7 linked regions of the Solanum lycopersicum genome follow. The main gene of each other region encodes a partner of the protein of the gene in region 5 in a complex. Links are inferred from orthologs where the notes say so. Each region holds a gene or a part of one and is shown on either strand. Other genes may lie near its edges. The genes, in order: large ribosomal subunit protein uL4c, large ribosomal subunit protein cL38, large ribosomal subunit protein bL9c, large ribosomal subunit protein uL10c, large ribosomal subunit protein bL28c, 50S ribosomal protein L27 and large ribosomal subunit protein uL24c.

Region 1 (3,347 bases), on a different chromosome or scaffold from region 5:
CAGACATGGATTCTTCAACTCCTAGTGATGATGATGATATGAATATTTGGTTCAAGGATTGTTACTATGATCAAAATGGAGTTGAAGATTTCACTAACTTTGTTGGTGCATGTAGGGAGTTTTCTTGGGAAGAATCTTGTGAATCTATGCTTTATGCGCCTGATGTCTGATATTCATATTGGAGCTCAACTAATCTGGATTCACATTAGTACTGAGGGATTCATTGTTTCCTCGTAAAGGTGACTTTGTACTTTGAAAGATTCAAATCTGAAATCTCTAATTAAGGATGAAGGAGTACTTATAGATAGTCATTGAGATAGGAGTATTGATTAAGACGTTTTTCATGGCAATTGTAAATCCCATATTAGTATAAATTCTTTTTACTAAAGACCTATGAACTTTCTGTTGCTTTTAATTCAATGTGGAATAAGCATAGCTTACCTAATTTTAGGATGTAAGCTGCAGAACCTATTTTTATGGTACATTTGAAATTATTAGTTCAAAATTTAATTGAGTTTGTTAAGTTTCAACATAAGTGGAACGAGGAGAAATTGATTTCTTTATATACTCTTGAACAATCATATCTCCTCGATTTATCTTTTGAATTGAGTTAAATCTAATATGGTATTGAAGTTACGTCCATCTCACTTCATTATCATTTAATATTAGGTCTCCATTTTATATTGCTTACATTCATGATATCTGACCATGAACGTGCAAAGGAGCGTTGAGTCTTAAATTGATTGATAAGCATAAATAATCTTGAACAATTATTTCCTCTTGAGCTAGCTACGATGTTACAGTTAGATTAGATTCAAGGTTTGTTTTCTTAACCGAATTCAACATACGAGTTGGGCTTAGCGTATCATGGAAAAATTGGAAAGGGAAGGCAATATGTAGCAGGCTGCATCAATAGCGCCTCAAAATAAAAGAAAATGAAGGTTTTGGGCTTATGATGGTGTAGCCCCAACTAACAAAAGACTTGATCAAGAAAATTGTATAACTTTTATATTATATCAAAATTAATAAAAATAAAGAGCACATTTCATAAAAATTTTATTTGTCGCTTACGCTCTAAAAAATTTATTTTTTTTCCTACACAAAAGAAGATTTAATTATGTTCTTAAAGTATTGTAAATTAAATAGACATGCCCTTCAACTCTTCGTCAATAGTTTGGCTTATATATGACCTTATCATTTTGAATGTGTTATTAGTCTAAATGAAACATTTGATTAACCTCATTTGTTGATTCATAAGTGAAAAAATTATCAAATATACTCTGACAACGATAAGCATAGAAAGAATAGAATATTTGTAGACCTTATCACTATCTCGTAAAGCTAGAGAGTCTGTTACGTCGTAAAGTTGAAGAGTTCATTGGCGCAAAAGGATCGGTCCTTCACTTGCTGATCGTTCGCAAGTCGAACTCGCTCTCTTGCCACGCCTTTCACTCACTCGCTTGAGACGGACTCAATCACTCTTTGAGTTTGGAGGATTCACTCTCTTGTTATTACCCGCAGGGAGCGCATGTTTCCGCAAATATGTCCCTAAATTTATCAAATATGTGCTCAATTTCAAATACTTTGAGGGTATATATGACTTTTCCATTTTCACTAAATTTATTTGAACAAAGAATATGAATACATTTTGATATCCTTCTTCCTCATTTGTGGATAACCCAATCCATAGGCTTGCAGTTTGCTCCTTCACTGCAAAAATGGCTACTTCTTCTTCTTTATCTTTCTTTTCTTCCACCATTTTCTTCTCTAACTCCAACACCCTTCACTCCTCAAAGCAGCAGCAGCAGAAACAACTCATTTTCAAACCCAAACAACAACAATTCTCCATCCGTTCAGAGGCCGCCGCCGCCACTATTCCAATTCTGTCCTTTGATGGTACCGAAGTGGGCTCCACCACTCTCAACTTAAAATCCGCCCCTCTTGATACCGCACGCGCCGTCGTTCATCGTGGGCTTACCACTGACCTGCGCAACCAACGTCGCGGTACTGCTTCCACCCTTACCCGAGCCCAAGTACGGGGTGGTGGTATCAAACCATACCCACAAAAGAAAACGGGTCGAGCTCGACGTGGGTCGAACCGAACTCCTTTACGACCAGGTGGTGGGGTTGTGTTTGGGCCGAAACCTAAGGATTGGTCAGTTAAGATTAACAAAAAGGAAAAGAGACTCGCGATTTCTACTGCGCTTTCGAGTGCTACACAGAATGCCATTGTTGTGGAAGAGTTTGATGATAAGTTTGAGAAACCGAAGACTAAGGAGTTCATTGATTTGATGAGAAGATGGGGATTGGACCCAAAAGAGAAATCTTTGTTTTTGATGACGGAAGTTTCAGACAATGTGATTCTCTCCAGCAGAAACATTAGCACATTGAAGATGTTGACACCCAGAACTTTGAATCTTTTCGACATATTGGATTCTGAGAAGCTGGTTTTCACTAAATCAGCTGTGGAGTTCTTGAATGAACGATACGGAAATGATGATGATGATGATGATGACTGGGAGGTGGTGGACGAGGAAGAAGAAGATGGTTAGTTTTTGCTTCATTTTGGGTATGAAGTTTCCTTTCAATTTTAGCTAACTCGTTAATTTGCTGCATTCAGGTGGCGAGGTGGAGGAGAGTGCTGAAAGTTCTGAGTAATATATGAACATGGGGCGAAAAGGGTCTGTTCCATTTTAGAGGAGGCTTTACCTTACAGGGAGCTTAGTATATTTCACTTTGAATTGTATTTTATTGTATGATAAAACTAGGTGATTTTGGTTGATTTCATGTCACTGACTGCATTTGTCCATTACCTTCGTTGGAATAGTTTACTCTTGATTTTCGTTCCGCTCTCATTACCACTTTGAGTTCTTGATTTTTATGATAAGAGTGATTAGTTACTTTACTAATTAAGTCTTGTGTTCTGGCAAAACTACATTAATTGCTTAGTAGATGAAGCTTTATATAAGATTTATGGGTTACAAGTTGTCAGCCAGGCGAGATTCAGCAAAGTAAAATGATTAGGAAAGCTTTGTGTTTGAGTCTTAGGCTTGAAGCAATTAAGCAAAGTTAAGAAAAGGAAACCTTTATTTGGGTGGAAAAAGCTTCATCACCTTTTTCTTTAATACAAACACAAAGTAATTGGCAGGAAAAAATGCTCTTTACTTTGTTTTGAGTCATTGGGGGCATATGGGATGCTAAGCATTATTAACCTTGAAACAGACCATATCTAGTAGACTATCTATGGAGGCAGATAACTTGGACATTTGTACTATCAAAATATGTGATGGAGAGTATATGAGTATCTCTAGGCTTTTACTAGAACTTTTGAGTTTAAGCGCTAATTG
Region 2 (2,275 bases), on a different chromosome or scaffold from region 5:
TCTGGAGGGCAAATAATTGGGTTTCATACTTTGTAAATATGCCATTTACAGTAGGAACATAAAATGTACATTGTTGGCTCGTCTAATCTACTGGATAGTTTGGTTTTGATCGGAATGGTTGTTGCGACATAGTTCAAAGGATTCCGATGTTGAATGAGCGAGTATATTGCCTTAATGCAAATACAAACATAGCTACTGTTTTCTCATTCATTGTTTTTAGTACGAGACCCCTCTCCCCGATCACATTTGATATTTGCTTTACATAATATATAATTTTGCTATTTTATTATACGGAACCGATATTCGAAGGATATTGTTTATTATCTCACAAGCTACGGCATTATCCAGTGGCATTGAATAGATTAAAAAGTAAAGCGTAAAACATTCATTTCAAATCACTTATTGCGCCAAAACTGCAATTGAACAAGTTGCAAATTTCCCCAAAGTATCAGACGGAAAACACCATTATACAAAAGCCGAAATGATAAGTTACAGAAAAATTACTCAGATTTGGCGTCGGACTCTGAAGCTCCGGCGGCAGCGGGTTGACCCGATTCATCACTGGCAAAGGACCACTCCGATGGTAAGGGAGGTAACGGAGCATAAACAGCTGGTCCACGTCGAATATCCCAAGCTTGAGTCTTCCGTGGACGTGTCTTCTTATGGTGAGCTGTAGCCTTCTTCTGTGGCCTAGATGAGCACTCAATTACCAATCCCCCGATACTTGTGGGTGCCGACGCCAACCTGGTGGCTCCGCCGGTGAATCCGGTCGCTGAAACAGTTGAGGAACGCGGCAACACCGCCATCTGCAACCCGAATATGGCGGAGGCTGACATTTTCTTTTTTCTTCTCTTCAAAGGTTTTTCCTTCTTCTGGCTGTGTTTAATGGAACCTTTGAAGTGGATTGCCTTCGTTATCTTCTGGTGACTTCAGTTTCTGCTAAGGTTACGACACCGTTTGGCATTTGGGCCTTAAAGCCCTTTTGGGTTATTTGAGTGTTGGATGTAGTAGAACAACAATTGGTCTGGCCCAAATAAATCTGTGGGATCATTTACACTTTTGCTTCTATTTAGTGTTGGTCTTTAATTTATGTATAGTTTATATTTTTGTATAATAATAACTTACCATTTATGTTCATATATTAAGTCTGAAAACTAAACGTAACTTCACAATCGATAGGAGCGATGGACGGTGTGTATAAAGGGCAGAGACGGAGAAATTCTTAGTTAGAGACCCAAAGGTCATTGTGATTAAAGAATAGTTTATGAAATTTTAGTACATAAGTGAATATAATTTAGAGTCAAAAGTACACGGCCTAATTGAGTTCAAATGAGTAATAATCTTATAAGATCATGGGACACAATTCCTCAACTTGTGTCTGTATGTTTGGTAATGTTTTCAACTAGTCATAATTATTTTAATCTTTCTCTGATATTATATGATTTAATATAAAAGTTATTGTATAATATATGGAGCATAGTAGTTGTATTTTGGACATAACTATGAGAAGTGAATGTTGACTATTAGTAGGTTACATGTTTAGAGGAAATGACTTTACTTCTAAAAGGTTAAATTGTTCCTTCAATTGGTGTCAAATCGTTTCATTTTCCTTCCTTTTTCGATGATATTGAAGTAAACTTCACTTGAATGGATACTTTTATTTTTTCATTACCATAATAACACTTTTTTGTTATTAGTTGCTTATTTAGGCACAACTTGAGTTCACGTGTACCTATTACTCTTTCCTTGCTATAATATATATGTGTAAAATCACCCCACTCCAGAAGGATTAATAGTGTTTTTTATCCATCAAACGTGAACTCAATCACTTGATGTTGAAGGCGACTCAATCAATTATTACATGACAATCAAACACCGTGAAAAAGATACTTGAAAATAAGTAGGTCATACAAAATACACCTGAGTATGATTCTTACACATAAAAGAACAAACATATACGTCTCTTTGCATCTACTGTTAGCCTTGTGAGTAATATTATAGGCCAGTCTATCCCATTTGTAGTCCGTGACCTTTATTGTTCCCCCACTTATATGAATCATCAAGATTAATGGATTGACCAACTTCATCTGCACTAATCAGCCCAAAACATCCTATAGCCGAGTAAAAATGAGTTGGTTACCTCTAGCATTTTGGCAATTAGTGCTTTGTTTTATTGGAAAAAGAGTTAAATTGCATATTTTTATAACTCTGGTGTCCGATCCAGTATCATGTACCCTGATAGTCAAAGATGAAAGAAAATAGAATAGTGGTTTTA
Region 3 (4,078 bases), on a different chromosome or scaffold from region 5:
ATATACAAAATTTGTTATAGCATATAAATATGAATTTTTTATTTGCCATATGTGAAAGTTGCCCTTATTTATATGTGTAAATACAAAACAATAATGTATGAGAGACAGAAAGAGTACGCTTTTACAAGTATGACTTTGATGAAAAAAATATGGCTAAGTGAATGTAAAATACTCTCCCTCCGGATTTAGATGACAAACTTTTTTTTAGTCAATTCTAAAAGAACGATACATTTCTTTATTTGATAAATAGTTAATGACACTGTCAATATTTTGTAGATGACTGGATCCCACTTATTCGACAAAACGTCTACAAAGTTGTGTTCTTTCTAAGGATAGTTTTGAGATATACAAAGTATTTTCATATTTTTTAAACTTCGTGTCCAATGTCCACTACTTAGTCAAGCAACACCACATGAATTGAGACGGATGGAGTATTATGTTGGGCTGTTTTTTTTGGATAAATTTTAGAAATCACATAATTTTAATATGAAATTATAATTCATCCCTCTTTAGTTTGTAATTTCATTAATCCCTTAAAAAGTAACACAAATCGGATACATTTATATGTAACTCGAATACATTAAAGAGTATCTTAGATGCATTATAGCATAAATCGGATGCATAATATGTAGTTCAGATACATTAAAAACTAGATCGGGTACATTATAAAATAAATCGCATACATAATATGTAACTCGGATACATTAAATACTAGCTCGGATACATTAATATGTAGCTCGGATACATTAAAGAAATAATGGATTTTAGAGGTCTTTAGAAATAAAAGGGGATATATGAAAATAAGGAAAATATAAGACGTGTATTTCAGTAAGGGTAAATGATAGAAATCTCACTTTTAAGTTCTCTTACTATTATTATCCCCTATTAGTTTTACAAATCTCCAAAATCCCTCATTTTCACACATCAAATTAACGTATCAGCACATCAAATTAATGTATCTCGCACATCAAATTAATATATATCACGCATCAGATTAATGTATATCGCGCATCAGATTAATGTATCTTGTATAAAGTGTACATCAGATTAGTGTATTATGTATAAATGTAATGTATCGTACTTAATGATTAATGTATCTCACACATCAGATTAATGTATCAAATGATACAATAATATATTATTGTATCATTTGAGAAATTTTTGTAATTATATACTTGTAAAAAACAAATGGTAATTTTGCCTTAAAAGTATGTGATTTCTGTCCTTCGCCCAAATAGCCTAAAATATTATAATTGGACTAAGAAATGGGCTTTACATGAATTGTCCCAATAAGTTTTGTTGGCCCATTAAGACATCCATTATCTTCTTCAGTTCGCCATTACAGATAAGATAACGCTATAAACTGTAAAAAATACAGAAAAACGGAGCAAAAAGTGAAGAAAAGAAGAAGGAAGACTTAGCTATGGCGTCATGGGGTTCATCTTCTTGTCTCCAAAATTACAGCTTAACCAAAAACCCATTTTCCGAAACAGTGAAATTTTCAGAAAGAACTTCAATTTTAACAATTGTTGCTCAGAAAAAAGCCAAGAAAGTTCGAAAGGTGAGCTAATTCTTGAAAATGTGATAATGGGTTGGATTTATAATTGTCAAAATCTCATTTTTTGTCCATTTATGGTTAATAGCTGAATTGGGTATTTTTTGTTTTGATGGAACAGATAATACTGAAAGAGGATATTTCACAGTTGGGTAAAAAGGGAGACCTTTTGGATGTTAAAGCTGGATTCTTTAGGAATTATTTGCTACCATTGGGCAAAGCTCAAATTGTGACAGCTGCACTTATCAAGTAACTCGTTTAACTCTACTTTGAACTAGATTTTTGCCATTTGATTTCATTGCCTTTTAGGTTCTTCTTTCATTAGCTGTACTTTTGTGGAGTTCGCGGTTGTTTGGTAGCTTGGTAGAGTTACGCAGGTATCAGTTATTTCGTCTTGTAACCTGCATAAGATAATACATTATATATTAGTTAGGTAGGTTTTTGAATTACAAATTAAACTTTGTGTTGATTTTATACATGAATAACTTATTCTCTAACTAACTGCCAAACATTGTATTACTTATACATTAAGTTAATATATGAGTAAGTTGCTTTTTTACTAGCTACAAAACACCCCCTTAATGTTTGTTAAAATTGGTTCTGCTTGTGTTGGATGGATTTTTAAGTATTCCTTTTGGAGACTGTTAGTTGATTTTAAGTGTTGAATATTCACATTTCCAATCACCCTGTATAGTTTAACGGCATAATCCACAGTGTGTCATGGACACCTGATGTTGATGTGGCAAATATATTTGGTTGGTGCCTAGATGATCATTTTGTAAGTTGGAGTGTTCAACTGACACAGTGGAGATGAGTTGAGGTGTAGATGTGCATACTCAAAGTTGGAGTGTTTTCTTGCTAGTTGATGCCGAGTTTGAGTGTTTTCTTGCTAGTTGATGCCGAGTTCAAGTGTCTGTTTCTGCATTATGACTAGTTAAATTATCGACTTAACCTTATTATTGAACTCAAGACTTTGGTTCTTCTGTTCGTTATCTTATTTTCATGCCTCATAATTAATGTCAGGATTCTTTGGTTCAACTATTTAAAATGCCACACACAATACTTTGCTTGGCTGTTGATGAGTGGAAGTATGTTATTACTATTGCTTGTTTTGTTTTATCTTTTATCTAAACCAATGGACCTATGTCGAATGGAGATAAAATAGGTATACTTAGTCTATGGGATCCTTTAAACTAATTGTAACTAGCTGAAAAGTGGACGGACCCATGGATTATACATATCTTCGTGCAAAGGTCGTACCAGAATAATCATTTTCGATACTCCTTGAGCAGAAACTCTGTATGGCTTTGGTGTTATAACTCTTGGTCAGTACACAAACTCTGTATGGCTTTTGTTCCCTGAAATAGTGCTTCGTATGATTAATGATTATAGGTTTAAGTAAATTCGCTTCTTTTAACCAAATATAATTTATTGATAACGGATTCGTCTTCAATACAATGTCCCACAATGCATAAGATGGATAATGGTTGGATATAAAACTTTAGATTTCCTACTACTTAGTGACTTTGTCTTTAGCTTTTGGGTGAGCAATAGGCCTAACCAGCTGTTAACATTAATGGTGTGATAGTCCTGTAAAAGTCTTATATATAAGGGATTTGCTATTTCATACTAAAGAACAAAACAAATAGGTGAAGGCTTCGTTAGAGATGGTTGTTAGAAGCAATTTTGGTTTGATATTTTTGATAGCTATTAGCGTGCTTCGCCATCAGTGAGAATTAACTAACTTCATGGATGCATTTTTATTTTATAACATTATGTACTTTTTACTCAGGGAAATGAAGATGGAAGACGAGAAAATTGAGGCTGAAAAACAACGGGTAATTAGATTATTCTGATTAATCTAATCTATTGAAAGTTGAAAAATATATACATTTTTTTTTTATTTTCAAGTCACTAAAAGTCTAAAAGAGTTTCATAATGAATGTGGTTTTAGTTAAACGTTTTTGATTTCAGGTGAAAGATGAGGCACAACAGCTTGCTCGAATTTTTGAAACTATTGGAGCCTTCAAGGTGAAGCGTAAGGGTGGGAAAGGAAAGCAAATATTTGGAAGGTCAGTGAAATACTAAATTGTGATGAGCAACTTGGTGAATATTTGATCTACCTTTTGACGTCATCTCTCTTGCAGTGTCACTGCTCAGGATCTCGTTGATATTATAAAAGCACAGATACAGAGGTACCATTTTCCAATCTTTCTGCCATAGCATGTAAATAGTAGTATGCGAACTAATTACTACTATATGTTCATTGAAGACTGTTAAAGTATATTGTCCTTCATAAGGTTGATCCTGTAATATGAATTTGCATGAACTTGAAAACTGATGTTCTCTGATTCATCTGGTTTATTAAGTAATTCAAATATTTTTCATGCAGTGCTTATTTTCTTGTGTGATTCCTTCTGTGCGATGTTACTTACTCGTTAACATCAGTCATCGAGAACAGTGGAGTATACTGATTCCATTTTCCGTCTATTGCTAGAGCAAAAACTGTTTTTTTGAAGCAAT
Region 4 (2,807 bases), on a different chromosome or scaffold from region 5:
AGAAATCCCAAAAAGTGGAGTCTGGGGAAGGTAGAGTGTACGCAAACCCTACCTCTACCTAGTGGAGGTACAAAGGTTGTTTCCAAAAGACCCTCAGTTCAAGTGAAGTAAATGAAAGTACTAACAAAAAGGGAAAACGACAATAAGGAAAACATGAGAACTAGTAATAGGAAAGCACTGCAGAGGATACATGCAAGAAACAATAACGTCAACAATATAGTGCGATCAACATATAACAATAGCAAGAAACTGCAAGAATAAAGCTACACACTTCCTCCAGACTACTACCAAAGCCCAAACTCAGCAAATAGCAAGATCTTAGTGCACCGAGCTGCCCTTTTAATATTTGACAAATATAGTGAGCTGAAGCAGGAATACAGACTATTTTCTTGGTTCAGTGATAATGGAAAGAGCAGAATAGTACATTTCACATAACATAAATCCTCTCAAACAGTTATGAAGTAATCCAGATAATTATCCGCCAAATACGAGGACACAAATTTAGAACAATTGGCCAAGGATAAATTCATTCTACCAAAAACATAAAATTTACAAAATTCCATCTCTCAGAAAAATTTCAAATATTGATCCAAATAGACAATAGTATTAGCTTACCATATCCAAGAATTACAACAAAAATTATTGACTTCCACCTTCTTCCTCCTCCAATTTCTTTACATAAGCCTTAAGAACCATAACCAAATTCCTTGCTGGAGCTTGAATAGTCCCAACAACAGCTGAAGCAGGTCCTTTCAAAGACCCAAGAAGCTGTGAATAAATCTCAGCTCTTGTAGGCAAATTCTCAAGCACCTTAAACTCATCAGGCCCATAAAACTTCCCTTCAAAAACCCCACCAGTAAAATCATTATCTTCCAATTTCTTCTCCCTTAGAAAAGTCCTATAAGGTTTCAAAGCAGCTGGGATTTCTTCACTATGAACAAATAACCAAGCATTCATTCCCTTCATACATGGTTTCAATGCTTCCCATTTTGTCCCTTCAATTGCTTTAAGTACCAATGTGTTCTTAGCAACAAGAAGCTTTGTTGTTTCTGGGAGTTGAGCCCTAAGATCTTGAAATTGCTTAACTGTTAACCCCTTGTAACTGATTCCAGCTAAGAGATAACAATCTTCAAGCTGTTGCTTCACTGTTTCGACTGTTTCTTCTTTCTTGGTTCTGCTAATGGCTGAACGAATAGTTAGAGTTCTGGGTTTGAGTTTGAGGTGAGAACTGGAATGGGGGATTATGAAGGGATTGTTGAAGTGGGATTTCACGGAAAATGGGTAAGAGTGAGAGGAAGAGGAAGGTAAGCTGAAGAGAGCAGCCTCCATTGATGATAGCTTGAGAATTGGATTGCCTTATCTTTTGTGCTAAGATAGAATTTAGGGGTATTTCATAAACTTTATGTTTTTGAAAATATTTATGTCATACCAAACAAACCATTAAAGAAGTTAAAAAAGGCAAAATAGGTGTAATATTTACATATATTTTATCGTCTTTAATTTATAAAATTATGTTAGATATATTTTTATTATTATTATTAACAAAATTCTTGAGATGATTTGATATGATATATAAAAGATAATAATTTCATAAAATGTAAAATTATTTTATCTTATATTTAAAGATATTAATTATGATTCGATCAGTTATTTTAAATATATATTATCATTATTTTCAGATGCTTTATTAATTTTTTTTTAAAAAAATAATATAATAATCATATCAATTTTTCTTCTATATTAAAATATTTTATTAATTTTGTTTGAATTTCATAGTAGAGTCGCATTAAGTATAATCAATGCAAATATTATATGATGTATTTGGCATTAAGGTGTATATAAGATATGGAATTATGTGGATATTAGTAAAAAAAAATATTCATGCATTAGCATAATAAAATCACTATTGCTCTTCAAAACTCTTTTAACATCATTTTACTATATTTGTGAAAGATACTTATATAAATAAAGAATTTTGTTCAAAATTGATGTAATACAGATTATTTTCTTTACGTCAAATCAAATATTAAATATAAAATAATACTCCTATCAAATATAACTCATACAAATATTAATAATAATTAAATTATTTACTACTAAAATTCACCATATTCAATATTATTCCTTCTACACCTCGTCAATCCTTTTTCAAGTATGTATATCTGTATCTACAAGTTTATCAATTAAAAATGCTGGCTTAAAATAAATTTAAAGAGTCAAGAATATTCAAAAATTATTTCTGAATGTAATCAAAATCACAAGTGATATTTTTGTTATTTTCTCTGCTCAGGTCCTAGACTTTGCTTCAATTATATTATATTATATTATTTTAATAAATATAATATTTGAATAGATTGTATCTGTATAGTAAAGACAGAGCGTGAGGTGAAATCTTTTACATAGTATATGGTGAGGCGTATGTCCTGAGACACAAGACGTAAGTCTCATAGTTTTAAGGGGCATAATCACATGTATATTCAATTTTTAGTTTAATTATTAATAAAATAAGCAAAAGTAAATCTTTCAATGATTTATGATTTTTATTTGAGATAAGTATTAATAATCGGTAATGAACAAAAAAAATAATCTATAATTACTTTTTGAGAAATATCATGAATATGATTTGAAGAAAAAAATAAAATAATTAAGGGCGAACGTTTTTACGTCTAAGATTTACTTTTTTATGCTTGGGGCTAATGCCTATGCCTAATGGATCTACGTCTTTAATTTACACCTCGAAGTGTTTTTGATACGCCCCTTCCCGAGACTCGTCCTGAGACTCGCCCCAAATACGTTTTCAAAAATAC
Region 5 (4,124 bases):
ATACTCTACCTGAAAAAACAGAATGTATTCTCTTAATATTCTATACGCTACTTATCATAAAGAGGCGCCAAGATATTCGAGCACAACCGACAAAAATGCAGGAAAGCAGGGGGGGAAAGGAAAGATCATGATGATGTAAGGCAAAGGATGCTTCACTGGGAATATTTGATTACTCTTGTCCCTAATTTGTTTTATTTTACCTATTAGCTCAAAGGCTTTAAGTAGTTTTGGACTAAAAAAACAAAGGAATTCAGGATGCAGTTTGACAAATGCAGCAACTTAGAAAGGGAGTCAAAGCAAGCAAGAGTGTCAGTGATATAGTGCTCCTAATGACTCTCATAATGTGCTTTCTGATTAGTAAACTAAAGCTTCATCAGTGATCTAAAAGCCAAATACTCTGCCATTACTGGATTTCACAAAAGGTAAGTCAACCCTTTACAATTTGTTGTCATACAATGAGAACGAATTAAACCAAGCTGTTATCATCATATTCAAAATATAATGTACACCAGAGGGGCGAACACACCGAAGATTCAAGTTCTGTAGATTTTTCCTTCCAAATCTGCAGCTAACACACTCTCTCAGCCTCTCATTATTGGTTTCGTCTTCTTTTTAACTAGTTTGGTCACTTGTAATAAGGACACAGGTGGGTAAATAAATATTAAAAAATGCAGAAGGTGAATTTGAGAGGTAAATGGATTTACATATTCTTGATAGCGAGAAATCTACTTTCATAAGCTTTGAATCTCATAAAGCTTTTATTTCACTATTAGGCTGCAAGTTTCATGGAGAGAAGAATAGGCAGATGGAAATCCTGCTCATTATCAAGAGAGGTGAAAGCAAGAAAATGAAGCTCCCTTTAGGCTGCAGTCAGTTTTTAATGAGACCTAAAAGGCCTCGACAAGAATTATAATATCTTCTCATGCATATAGTATTTCTTTTGCAGCTTTGTCTATGAATTGCAGCAAAGGAATGCAAACTTTGTTAACCAAAAAACTGTTGATACCATCTATATAAGAAATTTATCATGAAATAATTTATAATTCTTCACTTGGACAATCTGTTATGCCTTAAATATCGGCAATCCTTAAGTCAGAGAACAAAGAGCCAAGGAGGAAAAATTAGGGATCATTCAGTATATGAAGACAACTATGGACAAACTTCCAAACTATATACCGTATTTTATTGATCTTGTTGTTATTAATGCAGTTAACGCGGCAGCTCCCTTTAATCAATATGCTGTAGTCCATCAAGCTCTTCCCAGTTTGTTAATTTTGCACATGGTGAGGTTGTCCTATCCCTATTTCTTGCGACTGTAGACAGACTTTTAAACCCCTGGAATGATGACACCCCTTTAATCTCTCCTCTTGAAGTTATATAAGAAGTTGTTTAGATAGTAAACTATAATATGGTTTTTAATCATTGATTATCATATGTAACTTAATAATATGTGATTAATGTCAAGTGCTCAGCTTACCATACCACAGATTTCAAGAAAACAATATATTTAGTTTGCAAATTGCAACTGAATCAAACTTTTTCCAACTTTGGCTATGTCTTCAGATCCTCCACATTGTAAGGGATAATTTTCATCCCATATCAGCAATACTAACTTTCACTTGGTACTAAACAATCTAACGTAATGTGCTATCAACACAAAGCACATATCTGAATTCTAGACACCCGACTACTAAATGGGGTCTCAGGTATGGAATGAGCAATTATCTGAGTAACACTCATGATGATTTCGGTCCTGTGACCCTTTGAGTACGGCCACTCCACACACACACAAATAAAAAGGCTACCTGCACCAAAATGATGATTCATCGTATTAACATTTGAAAGTTATCATCTTTCCTTTTTCCCCATCAATGTTCAAGAAGAACTTACTATCCCTACTTCATGGGTAGAGGGACCGAAGGTGTATACCATACAGTATCCCTTTGCATGTGATCCAATTAATTGAAATTCAGAAAGCTGAAATGTCACCTCTACCATCAATAGGTCTACAAAGTTAATATTTCCGCCCCTCGAACTCGTAACCTTCAGGTCAGCAAAGGAGCAACCTTGCAATTGCACCAAGACTCTTTTTTTATTTTAAATAATGGTAATGTCGGGGTCAGTTTGCACATACTTCAACAACCATTACCCTAAGTAACAAGTACTTAACTAAACTTCAAATTATCAGATACAATTTCCTTTTGACAATTGTGGTGTATGGCCAGTATGCGCACACCTCGACTAATTCTAAGGTTACCTACTGCCTCCCCACAAGCACAATTTCTTACACACAATTCACAATATTGTTAAAACCCAACAATTCACTGAAACAAACAAAACAACAAACAGTTCATGTGCATATTACTAGACCAAAAAAGAAACAACCCCAACAACTAAAAACACAGAGAACACAACAAAAGGGTAGAGAAATTACGAGCAACAGGTTGAAGGGCTGTCTTGAAAGGAACAGAAAGTGAAGCAGGAGAGCTCAAATGGGTGCTTGAAATCTTGATGCCACTCAATTGAGAAGTCACAAAACTCAACTCTGAGCTGAATTTCACCTTGGGTAAAGCCCTTTTGGTCACTGCAAATGTCCTGTAACCACCCACTACTGGTCCTCTGAGGCTTATACCCGCTGTGATTGTCGCCATTTTTGCAACCAATTCCTCAAAGCAAGAATCTTTTTTGTCTCAAGAATGTTGCTTTTTTTTTTGAAGAAGGAAGTGAAGAGTGGATAACGAAATGGATGTGGGTAATGATTTTATTTGTTGGCCTTCATATTTTTTTTTATTGTTATTATATATTTAACTTATTTTTTCCTTTAGTCTAATAATATCAAACGATTTAAATAAAAGAATAAATAAATAACAAAATCTAACTTATTTGGAAGTAATATGTTATCATAGTTATGCTTTAATTTTATTTGCATTACTTGTGTTATCTTAGTTTATGCTTTAATCTTATTTCCATTACTTACTCACGTGGAAGTCTAATATCACAAACCAAACAAAGAGAGTATTAAGCCTATACCAAAATCAAATCATTATTAAGCCTATACCAAAATCAAATCATTATAATATTAAGCGTTTTCTCCCTCTTCAGGTTCCACTTATGATAAACCAAACAAATAGACCAAAATCAAATCATTATAATATTGAACGTCTCTACTATCTTCAAATCAATCACACTATGTTATGAATGTCCTTATCTCTCTAACCAAACAACCCCTAAAATCTGTTATCCCATCAACTGTCCAACTGAGTCAGTGACCAACATCATTTAGAACTACAAGCACAAGACATTAAGGCAAAATAATAAGAAGGTAAATAAAAGATTTCAAGAAGCCATAAGATTGTGCTCCTGTATATTGTAAGTAGTAGGTAAACTGTTGCAACTTAAAAACAAAGTTCATAATTTTTAGATGACATAATACAATGGCTCATTCCTTCATCCCATTCTACATCTGGGAGAAAACATGTATTCCGCTTCAAATCGGGTACGACTCTCGCACTAACAAAAGGGTTAACACCAAGGCATCTCAATAATGGTAAAAATTGCAAACAAACATTCAGTTAAGCATTGTGAAATCCTATGTTAACGTCGTTCAAGTTTGGGGAGATCTGCATAAGGTTTTGAATGGGCCAAAAGAAATTAGTTTTGTTTAGCAAACTTTGTCTGATAGAGATCAAGGGGAACATACTCCACAGTCACTATTCGGTCGTCAAACAGTCGTCCATGTAGACAATGAGCAGCCGTGCATGCAGCTTCTGCTCTTCTAAACTCCACAAGTACACAGCCCGGATCAAACACTTCAGTAATAGGGATTTCTTCCTTTTTCTCAAGTTCCTCTGGAGCATCCAACTCTTCTTTCGATGAGAATTCTGGTTCAGAAGGTCTATCGTCTACATTTCCATTGTCTTCCTCTGACTTAATTGCTTCCTTAACTGGTGAGTCATTGTTTATCTCAAGATGCTCCAGTGGACTGGGATTAGCATTTTCATCTTTCCTTTCTGAAACCATACCAGTACGGGTAACCTCGAGATTTTCTTGGAAGATTGTCTCTTGAGCAGAGACACTACTGTCATCTGGTAGAGGGTCAGAGCTGTCGTCTTTTATTAGCTCCT
Region 6 (4,188 bases), on a different chromosome or scaffold from region 5:
TAAAAATGGTGAAATTCTGAATTATTTTAATTTTCCATCACAATCTTTATCGGTATTTTACTATTACATGTTAAAACCATTGATGTATTTGCACATATAGATTATATAGCATGATGTTGGATTTAATTATTTTATTGTATTAATTTTATATATTGAAATTTAGATATATTTAAAATGTTCACCTAATATTATTTTTTAACCAATAAATATATTTATTCTTTGAAAGAATTAGGTTCATGGCATTTATATTCTCCACTTGTTCTTGTCCTATAAAAGTAAATAAATTAAACAATCTATTTTACTTTAAATATTCTTCTTTTAAATCCTTTAATTTACCAACACAACTTTTGACTCGAGCAATCAATTCCACTAACTAGTTCAAGAAGCATAATATGAGCAATTTTCAAGAATAATGTGGCATTATTGTAGGTCGGCGTGTTAAATAATCGGGTTGAATTAAAATTTAAAATATTAAAATGAGTTCAAATAAAATTTAAGTCGAATCATAACCTCTTCAAATTATGTTAGGCTCAAATAGGATAAACATTGGATTGGATCATGACCTGTGCGATTTGACATGTTTAATCTCAATAATTTAAACATATTGTTATTTTCCTTTAATAACTATTATTTGAATTTTAATTCAATAAAAACAGTTATAAAATTGATATATAAATCATAAAAAATATAAAATAGATTCTAATTTATGCATTCAATATGAGAACATAAATTACACCAATACAAAAAATACTCTTAAAACATGTTGAAATTAGAGATTACATTGGACACAATTAAAAATTATTTTAAAATGGGCTAAAACGTAAATAAGTTGAGATTGATCCAATTCAAAATATCTAGAGCTCCCGCCTATAAAATTTTAAATGAGTTAGACGAGTTATATATATTTAGGCTCATTTTGACATTCTTAACCGTACTTGTATGGAGGTATGCAAAAAAAAATTATTCTTATACTTTTTATCGAAAAATCATATTATATATGCCCGTAAGTAGGAGTATGAAATTTTCTCGATAAAAATTAAATTAAAAATTTTTAAATATGATTTCATTTTTTGAAAATACTTTTCGCAGAATATCAATTTGAGATTAAAAAACGTTTTCAAAAATATAAAAACAATCACTTGGATTTTAGTTTCGAAGAAAAGATATCTGAAAAAACATTTTATTTTACTAATTAAAATCATATTATTCCCCTTTACAAGTTCGATAAAAATATTTACAACTTCAATATTTATAAGCAAAATTAATTTATGTCCATAACTTATGTTCGATAAACGAAACCATTAAACTTAACCCGAAAACAAGCTAAAAAAAGCCCAATTCAAAACGGGTCAAGTATATTATAAAAAGGATGGCTGACATTTCTCTTATCTTTTTATCTCGAAGATTTTGCCATTGTGGCTCCATAATCCCCTCGGTGAGTTCATCTCTTTTCCCCTCTTCTGTAAATTCAATGTTTTTTTCTTGTACTATGTTTAATTGGGTGTTCGAAAATGTATTTAATTTTAGCTGACTCGCAAATCTTGGTTTACTATTCTCTCCATTTCAATTTGTTTGTGTGGTTCGACTTTGGCAAATAATATAAGAAAGTAAAGATTTTTTTTTAATCAAGTGGGGTTGAAGTAAAACTAATGTTATGTCGAATGTATCAAAATGTTGTTTAATGTGAAAAGTTAGAATTGAAGAGTTGCTATTGGAAATTGAAATGGAGGGGGTTAGTATTTATGCTTCACTAGGATTTGAACTTGAGACGTTATGGTTATCAATCTACTTTATTGACCGCTACTAATATTTTAGGTGGACTGCAATCTTGATGAACATACTAGTGTTTATTTTGTTGTTGATACTGGTTTCCTTTGATTCCTCTTTGTTTTGTGGTTTAAAGACTTGTCCTTTATGATTAAATATGGTTCTTTTATGACCAATTGCTTGCGTAAGGACTTATTTGCGGAATATTTTGTGGTGTAGAGTTTGCGAAATGCGTTTGTGGTGGAGGGGGGTTGATGTTTGGTGTAATTTTGAAAAGAAAAACAATGAGTGGAAGTAATGTGTATTGAAATGCAAGAGATATATAATGGAGTAAAGATAGTTGTAATGAGGACTTAAGGTACTTCTATTGTTAGGAGTGTGTGTTTTGTATTTTTTTTGAAGATTGATAATAAGCTCAGCAAATTGGTTTTATATTTTGATAAAGCTGAGTATTAAGAAATGACAATATTATCTAAACAGTGGTTGGAGCGAGCGATAAGGAGAAAGAGCTGAAATCGTAGTAAAAGGAAATGACTTATCTCATAAGTGAGAGTAGTTATTTCCCCCTTTTGATGGAAAACTTTTTTTCTTAGGAAATATGTTTAGGACCATTTTTATCACTCTTCTACTGTTTTAGTCATACCGAGCAGTGTTAAAGTCAGAGTCAAACCTTCTGTAGACTTACTATCAAAAATATATTTCTCCAATTTGTGTTCGCGATGATCCGGGGAAATTTTAGATTGGCGATTAAGATCCTTGGTAGTTGTTATGGTAATAGTTTTGTCCTCTTAGTAGTTCTATGCTCATATTTTTCCCATTGTTAAATATCACTTCCTTTCCTTTAGGCCTCTCATCTCTGATAGTAAGTACCACGAGAGGCTACTGAATTTCTTTGTTTTCTTTGCAGCGTATAAATGGCAGTGAGTTTGAGTCTTGTTTCCTCATTCAAAGGACTCTCCTTATCTTCCAATTCTCTCCTTGGGGTTTCTCTTCCCATTGCCCCTAAGTTCTCCGTTTCCTTCCCGTTGAAATCTCCATTGACAATTGAGTCTGCACACAAGAAAGGAGCTGGTAGCACTAAGAATGGTCGAGATTCTCCTGGACAGAGGCTTGGTGTCAAGATTTATGGTGACCAAGTCGCCAAGCCCGGTTCTATAATCGTTCGCCAGCGCGGTACAAAGGTTTCAATTTTACTTCTTCTGGATCTCCTCTCTCTTTTTTATTTTTGCCTAAAACTCGTATTTGCTGTGGAAGTTCTGATAGTTCTTTTGATTAATTAATAGTGCTTGAAATGAATTCGGATGAACCCACCCAAGTAGAGTGTAATTCCAGTTTTTTTGCTCAATACCTCACAAACATACTAGGTCCTGGCATCTTGTCAATAACTCTGCTCCATTCGTCTGGCTTTCTTCGTTTGGTTTGTATATTATTTGTTAGAAATATGTGGATTGTCTAGAGGGCGTTAGATTGAGTACAAAACAAGGTACTAGAGGGATACATATCTTGTCATTTGAAGTAACAGATTGCTATAAGGTTTAAGGTTTTGAGCTCGTGTCGTGAAGACATAGTTGGAAGTTCTCTTTAAGAAATGCACATTTGTTATAATCCGACTTGAGTTTTTTTTCTTTGCCGAAAGTGTCAGTTTCTGACAGTATGATGCTATGAGTAGATGTCGTCTTCTATCAGTTAGATAGTAAAAGGGTTTATGCCAGAGGTTGGTATTAGTTTTACTTTTTTTCGGCTCTGATATGATCCTGTTATCGTCTGTTTGTTTGCTCTAAGAGTAGTTCAAAAGTTGCATTCTCCGTTTAGCATTGCCATATATTCTGTTCCCTAATCGTTCTCGTGGTGATATTTCCAGTTCCACCCAGGAAAGAATGTTGGACTTGGCAAAGATCACACAATATTTTCTTTGATTGATGGACTAGTCAAATTTGAAAAGTTTGGACCTGACAGGAAAAAGGTTGAGTTCTTTAGCTTACTGCTTGTAGATATGTGGTACACGAGTGTTATTAACGTATACTGACTGTGCAGATAAGTGTTTATCCACGCGAGGTGCAACCTGAAAACCCCAACAGCTATAGAAACCGAAAGAGAGAGTCCTTCAGATTACAACGTGAACGTAGAAAGGCACGAAGAGAAGGTGTCATCCCTGAGCCTCAGTTGATAGTTGCTTCTGCTGCTGAATCCTCTGAAGATAATCCCATCACCACTTGCTGATAATGGTCTTTCGATTTTTCAAACATTCTGTTGTCGTTTTGGTTATTGCTAGTAGCTACTTGGGAACACATTTGCAGGCACATTTTCTAAACTGTGTTTCTGCCATTGTTGTCTTTTTTTGTTTGTAAATTGTGTTACTGAAAGCATGAGTCTTTGTCACAGTTTGTATGAGTACAGAATGAAATGTATGATTCAGAAGAT
Region 7 (4,298 bases), on a different chromosome or scaffold from region 5:
ATTGTATTCGACCCATTAACCATCAAACTCTAGTACGTAATAGTACTGGCAAACAGAATTTTTGAGTAAATGTACTTTAATATAAAATCTTATGTTACTGAGTTAAAAAGGTGAAGGTGACAACAGAATCATAATATATCAATGAGAGAAGATTCAAAATTAGCAAAATCGAACTAGAATTTACAGACCAGTGGATCTCCTAGGAAGCAGCAGCTACTGCTTCTGTTGTTTTCCCCTTCTCTTTGACTGCTTTCTTCCAGTTCTCTGCACTATCGATGATTTCCCCAGTTTTAATGAGGTACCGGACTCTTTTTCCATTGTCTAAAGTTTTGTGACCAACCCGACTGGCTACCTTCTGCTCTTTTGAATAAAGCATCACGTTTGAGCTGTGAATAGGAGCTTCAATCTGAAACAATAACAACAACTACGTCTCAATCCAAACAACTTGGGGAAGTTCAATCTAAAATCTTAACACAAAGTTTTACTTTCTTGTTAGGGCAAAGATGAATTCGATGCTAGCCACGACGAAATGAAATCTCAAGATAACAATTTTTAGGCAAGATAGAGAAGAAAGAAATCGAGATAAAACCTTGACTATCTGGCCTGGTTCCTCCTCACTCCGACTCTTCACATGCTTGGTTTTCAAGTTCACCTCTTTTACTACTATTTTGCTGTTGTGCTTGATGATCTCGGTAATCTCTCCAATTTTACCTTTGTCATGGCCGGAGATTACCTTTACAGTATCACCCAGCCTTACATGCATTTTGTGTAGTACTGGAAGGCTGTTTGGCTTACATTCTTTACGCTCCCATCGCTTAAGCTGCAAAATAGACATAAAAAGAAGCTCTTATTCAATGATAAAGCTAATTCTAATCACAATTCTCATTAACTGTTGTTTCAGCTAAAAGAATATCATACCCATAAAAATTAGTACCAAAGGTTTAGCAATACAAACATTTGGTGGCCATTTTTAAAAGCTGTTGACAAGTTAGTTCGAGCACTTCCTTCATTACATCATAAGTTATAAAAGAAATGCATGACCACATTAACAGCAACCCTATAAAAGTAGTTGCCGGAAATGTCTATCTCGGACAATATACTAAAGGACCAAAATGGATCAAGATACCAACCTTTGCTGTAATCAAACATGGACCTTCTGCTGATTTAACCTGCACGGCATTATATGGAGATTGTCATTAAAGTGGCAAAAGATTATCCAGTTTTACAGTTGACACAATAAAAAGTGACAAACTGCGTAAGGCGTGATATACATCCAAAAAGTGTTAACCGAATAACAAGCAAGTGCATTTTCTGGAGACAGATCTTATTCCATATTTGCTTCCAATAACTTCTGATTATACAGGTAACTATAATATGAGAACGATTTATTATCGAGGAACACAGAGGCATATGTATAATATGGGTTCAGCAGCACCCAGTAGCTTTAACTCAGACCCTATATATGTATTAAAAAATTGATAAATATGTCCAAATATTAAAATTTCGAACCTTAAGTCAAATACAGGGTTCATCCTATGTTAGAACTTGGAAGACATCAATCACAACAGAGGGGGTAAGTTTAAGTTAACCAATTAGCATATTCTTAATATACTTGACTTTTTGAAGAACTTTTGAGGAACTACTGTATCAAATTGTAGATGTCTTTATATATAAAATTATTCTCTTGCAGCTAGAAATACACTGTGTTTGGTATGTAGTTCCAACTTTCCTGTGTTACGAAAATATTTTCTTTAGGAAAACAAGTTCAAGTTCAAAATAAAGAAAATGACTTCCGTAGTGGAAGTAAGAAAAACAAGATGGATAAGTAGCATTTCAAGTTATCATCACCCAATCCCTCCAACTCCCACTTCTTGACCATATCACGTCCGTCCATCCCCGAATCCCCACTCCCCATCCCATCTCGCCTCCATAGTATTTTGTTGGATATATAACATATAAATGCTCTTGGAATAATATTATCTAGCTTAGTTACCATATAAACACTAGAAAATTAGTAAGTTCCACATTTGTTTTCTAGGTAAACATTTTCCTTCGTACCAAACACGCAGTCAAAACTTATAATAGCGAAAAAACATATGATATGAGAAAGGACTCAGGTAGCAATGGTGACCAAGCAGAGAAAAAGTTCACAATATATTGTAATCAAATAATATAAAATTAATTTATAATCAATAGTACAATGGAAATGGATACCTTTGTTCCTATGATCCCTAATACATAGAAATCAAATTATTCAAACAAAGACCTTTCACAAAGACAATTGAAATTGAGATAAACAGATAGGATATAGCCTAGTGGTCAATGCAGTGGTGAACAACTACGATTTATTGGTTCAAATCACAATACACTAGTTTATTTCTTCGCATTTATGTAAGACTGGATGGAGAAAGTTACTTGCAACACAATTCAATTCTGGCTAGAGGTAGCAGGTATTCTACGTAATTAGTCGAGTTGTGAGCAAGCTGGACCGAATGATACAGTTGTAGAAACAAAACAATTAACATTTGAGATAGTTCAGTTTGAAAACCAGATAGTTGAAGTTATGAGAAAGCATACCAGAGGAAGGGAGAGAGGAGGAGAGAAGCGTTGGCCGAAGAAGGAGGTGGAGGAGATGGAGAGACCAGTAAAGGAGCTCTGCAGAGCCGCCATTGTTCAAAACCTTCTGCAAAATCCTTTTGTTGAAGGAAGAAACAACACTGAGCTGAGTATTTGGATAGGATAATAAAAACCAGAACCTTCGTCTTCTTCTCTCTCTATCCCTGGACACCCGATCCAACTTAATTGGACCTTCAACGGGTCGAGTACGGCCCAATTATAAAGTCCCTTTTCAGCTATTTCGGGATTGTGGATTAATTACGAAAATCTCACCTTTTAGTTTAATTATTATCATTATCCCTTATAAGTTTTACAAATTTCTAAAATTTCACAATTTTCATGCATCACATCAATTTCTATCGCGAATCATATTATTGTATCCCGCGCATCAGATTAGTGTATCATGTATAAAAATGTATCTCGCACATTAGATTAATGTATCTCGAGCATCATATAGTGTATCATGTATAAAATGTACCTCGCGCACCAGATTAGTATATCTCGCGCATCAGATTAGTGTATCATGTACCTCGCGCATCAGATTAGTGTATCATGTATAAAATGTACCTCGCGCATCAGATTAGTGTATCATATATAAAATGTACCTCACGCATCAGATTAGTGTATCTCATACATTAAATTATTGCATCTCGCGCATTAGATTAATGTATCAACGCTTGTATTATTGTATCCGTTTTGAAGATTTTTTGTAATTATAAATTTGTAAAGTATCAATTTGCCCTAATTTAAGAAGGGAAAAATGATCAAGTTTTAATGTTTTATAGGTTGACAAAACATATAAAAGACGAATTGAACAAATAAATATATTGAAAAAAAGTATCGGGGGATTAAAAAATAAAAAAAGCTTGGTTCTTTTTTAATAAAATTAGATTGAATAGGATACTAATGTAGAAGAAGTGGAAAAGCCTGATCTGGGATTTTCCCCGTTTTCTACCATTCATTAACCTTCCACGCAAATTTACAAAAACTTAGAACAAAATTGGGAACAAAGGCTATCATACACTCAGACTATAACATACCCCTAAGTATCCCAAACGAACTCACCAAGACAAAAGTGTGTTTTTGTAAATAAGAAACCTAACAACCTGACCAATTTTACAAGATGAAACAAAAAAATAAACAAATGGAAGAACTGAGTTAAACTTCATACGAGTCAGCTGTGCTATCTATAGATTCAACACGTCGATGTCCAGAGATTGGATTCCGATGATCTACTTGTTCAACATTGATGGTAATCTCCTCTGCTGTTGCAGATAAAGATCGCTTCTGGCGTTTTCTTTCGTGTCTAGACTTGAGTATCCTTGACAGAACCTGCACAGTGTCCCTCATGGAAGGCCGTTTCTTGGCAGCACGATTCACACATTTGTATGCAAGTGCTGCTACATCATTAAGTTCTTGCAGATCATACTTCCCATCAAGACGGGAATCTGCGATTTCCTCCCATCCGCCTTTTCCATCTGTAGTCATGGCTGCCTACAATCATCAATCCTATGGAGCTTAGTTTCTATATGACTGAATAGGCTTCAGAAACATATGCACAATAAAAGAGGTTGTAGGGGAAGAGGGGGGGGGGGGGGGGGGGGGAGTGGAGGGGTTCTGAAAGTTACTCGAGATCAGTGCTCTCTACATGTGCCACAAAAAAAAGAAGTTTCACATCACAT

What was found.
Region 1: large ribosomal subunit protein bL28c (region 5) and large ribosomal subunit protein uL4c share a complex: the UniProt entries of both Arabidopsis thaliana proteins name them as parts of the 50S ribosomal subunit. The link is inferred for Solanum lycopersicum from reciprocal best matches to the Arabidopsis thaliana genes PRPL28 and RPL4.
Region 2: large ribosomal subunit protein bL28c (region 5) and large ribosomal subunit protein cL38 share a complex: the UniProt entries of both Arabidopsis thaliana proteins name them as parts of the 50S ribosomal subunit. The link is inferred for Solanum lycopersicum from reciprocal best matches to the Arabidopsis thaliana genes PRPL28 and PSRP6.
Region 3: large ribosomal subunit protein bL28c (region 5) and large ribosomal subunit protein bL9c share a complex: the UniProt entries of both Arabidopsis thaliana proteins name them as parts of the 50S ribosomal subunit. The link is inferred for Solanum lycopersicum from reciprocal best matches to the Arabidopsis thaliana genes PRPL28 and RPL9.
Region 4: large ribosomal subunit protein bL28c (region 5) and large ribosomal subunit protein uL10c share a complex: the UniProt entries of both Arabidopsis thaliana proteins name them as parts of the 50S ribosomal subunit. The link is inferred for Solanum lycopersicum from reciprocal best matches to the Arabidopsis thaliana genes PRPL28 and EMB3136.
Region 6: large ribosomal subunit protein bL28c (region 5) and 50S ribosomal protein L27 share a complex: the UniProt entries of both Arabidopsis thaliana proteins name them as parts of the 50S ribosomal subunit. The link is inferred for Solanum lycopersicum from reciprocal best matches to the Arabidopsis thaliana genes PRPL28 and RPL27.
Region 7: large ribosomal subunit protein bL28c (region 5) and large ribosomal subunit protein uL24c share a complex: the UniProt entries of both Arabidopsis thaliana proteins name them as parts of the 50S ribosomal subunit. The link is inferred for Solanum lycopersicum from reciprocal best matches to the Arabidopsis thaliana genes PRPL28 and RPL24.

The regions. Positions count from the first base shown.
Region 1 is NC_090806.1:67,227,920-67,231,266, forward strand, and holds large ribosomal subunit protein uL4c, read left to right. Parts: upstream 1-1,227; 5' UTR 1,228-1,718; coding exon 1,719-2,547; intron 2,548-2,620; coding exon 2,621-2,658; 3' UTR 2,659-2,847; downstream 2,848-3,347. UniProt on the Arabidopsis thaliana protein: This protein binds directly and specifically to 23S rRNA. May play a role in plastid transcriptional regulation.
Region 2 is NC_090803.1:63,903,610-63,905,884, forward strand, and holds large ribosomal subunit protein cL38, read right to left. Parts: upstream 837-2,275; coding exon 501-836; downstream 1-500.
Region 3 is NC_090810.1:57,591,530-57,595,607, reverse strand, and holds the start of large ribosomal subunit protein bL9c, read left to right. Parts: upstream 1-1,278; 5' UTR 1,279-1,423; coding exon 1,424-1,561; intron 1,562-1,676; coding exon 1,677-1,804; intron 1,805-3,347; coding exon 3,348-3,393; intron 3,394-3,529; coding exon 3,530-3,627; intron 3,628-3,702; coding exon 3,703-3,750; intron 3,751-4,078. UniProt on the Arabidopsis thaliana protein: Binds to the 23S rRNA.
Region 4 is NC_090803.1:3,526,023-3,528,829, reverse strand, and holds large ribosomal subunit protein uL10c, read right to left. Parts: upstream 1,434-2,807; 5' UTR 1,330-1,433; coding exon 640-1,329; 3' UTR 501-639; downstream 1-500. UniProt on the Arabidopsis thaliana protein: This protein binds directly to 23S ribosomal RNA.
Region 5 is NC_090808.1:67,409,465-67,413,588, forward strand, and holds the start of large ribosomal subunit protein bL28c, read right to left. Parts: upstream 2,801-4,124; 5' UTR 2,652-2,800; coding exon 2,435-2,651; intron 10-2,434; coding exon 1-9. Other genes in the region: uncharacterized protein, read right to left, coding at 3,652-4,124.
Region 6 is NC_090810.1:58,850,415-58,854,602, reverse strand, and holds the start of 50S ribosomal protein L27, read left to right. Parts: upstream 1-1,388; 5' UTR 1,389-1,435; intron 1,436-2,674; 5' UTR 2,675-2,681; coding exon 2,682-2,948; intron 2,949-3,628; coding exon 3,629-3,730; intron 3,731-3,801; coding exon 3,802-3,987; 3' UTR 3,988-4,188.
Region 7 is NC_090806.1:68,736,217-68,740,514, reverse strand, and holds large ribosomal subunit protein uL24c, read right to left. Parts: upstream 2,801-4,298; 5' UTR 2,671-2,800; coding exon 2,578-2,670; intron 1,170-2,577; coding exon 1,131-1,169; intron 821-1,130; coding exon 590-820; intron 407-589; coding exon 200-406; 3' UTR 59-199; downstream 1-58. Other genes in the region: calcium/calmodulin-regulated receptor-like kinase, read right to left, coding at 3,775-4,110. UniProt on the Arabidopsis thaliana protein: One of two assembly initiator proteins, it binds directly to the 5'-end of the 23S rRNA, where it nucleates assembly of the 50S subunit. Required for optimal plastid performance in terms of photosynthesis and growth.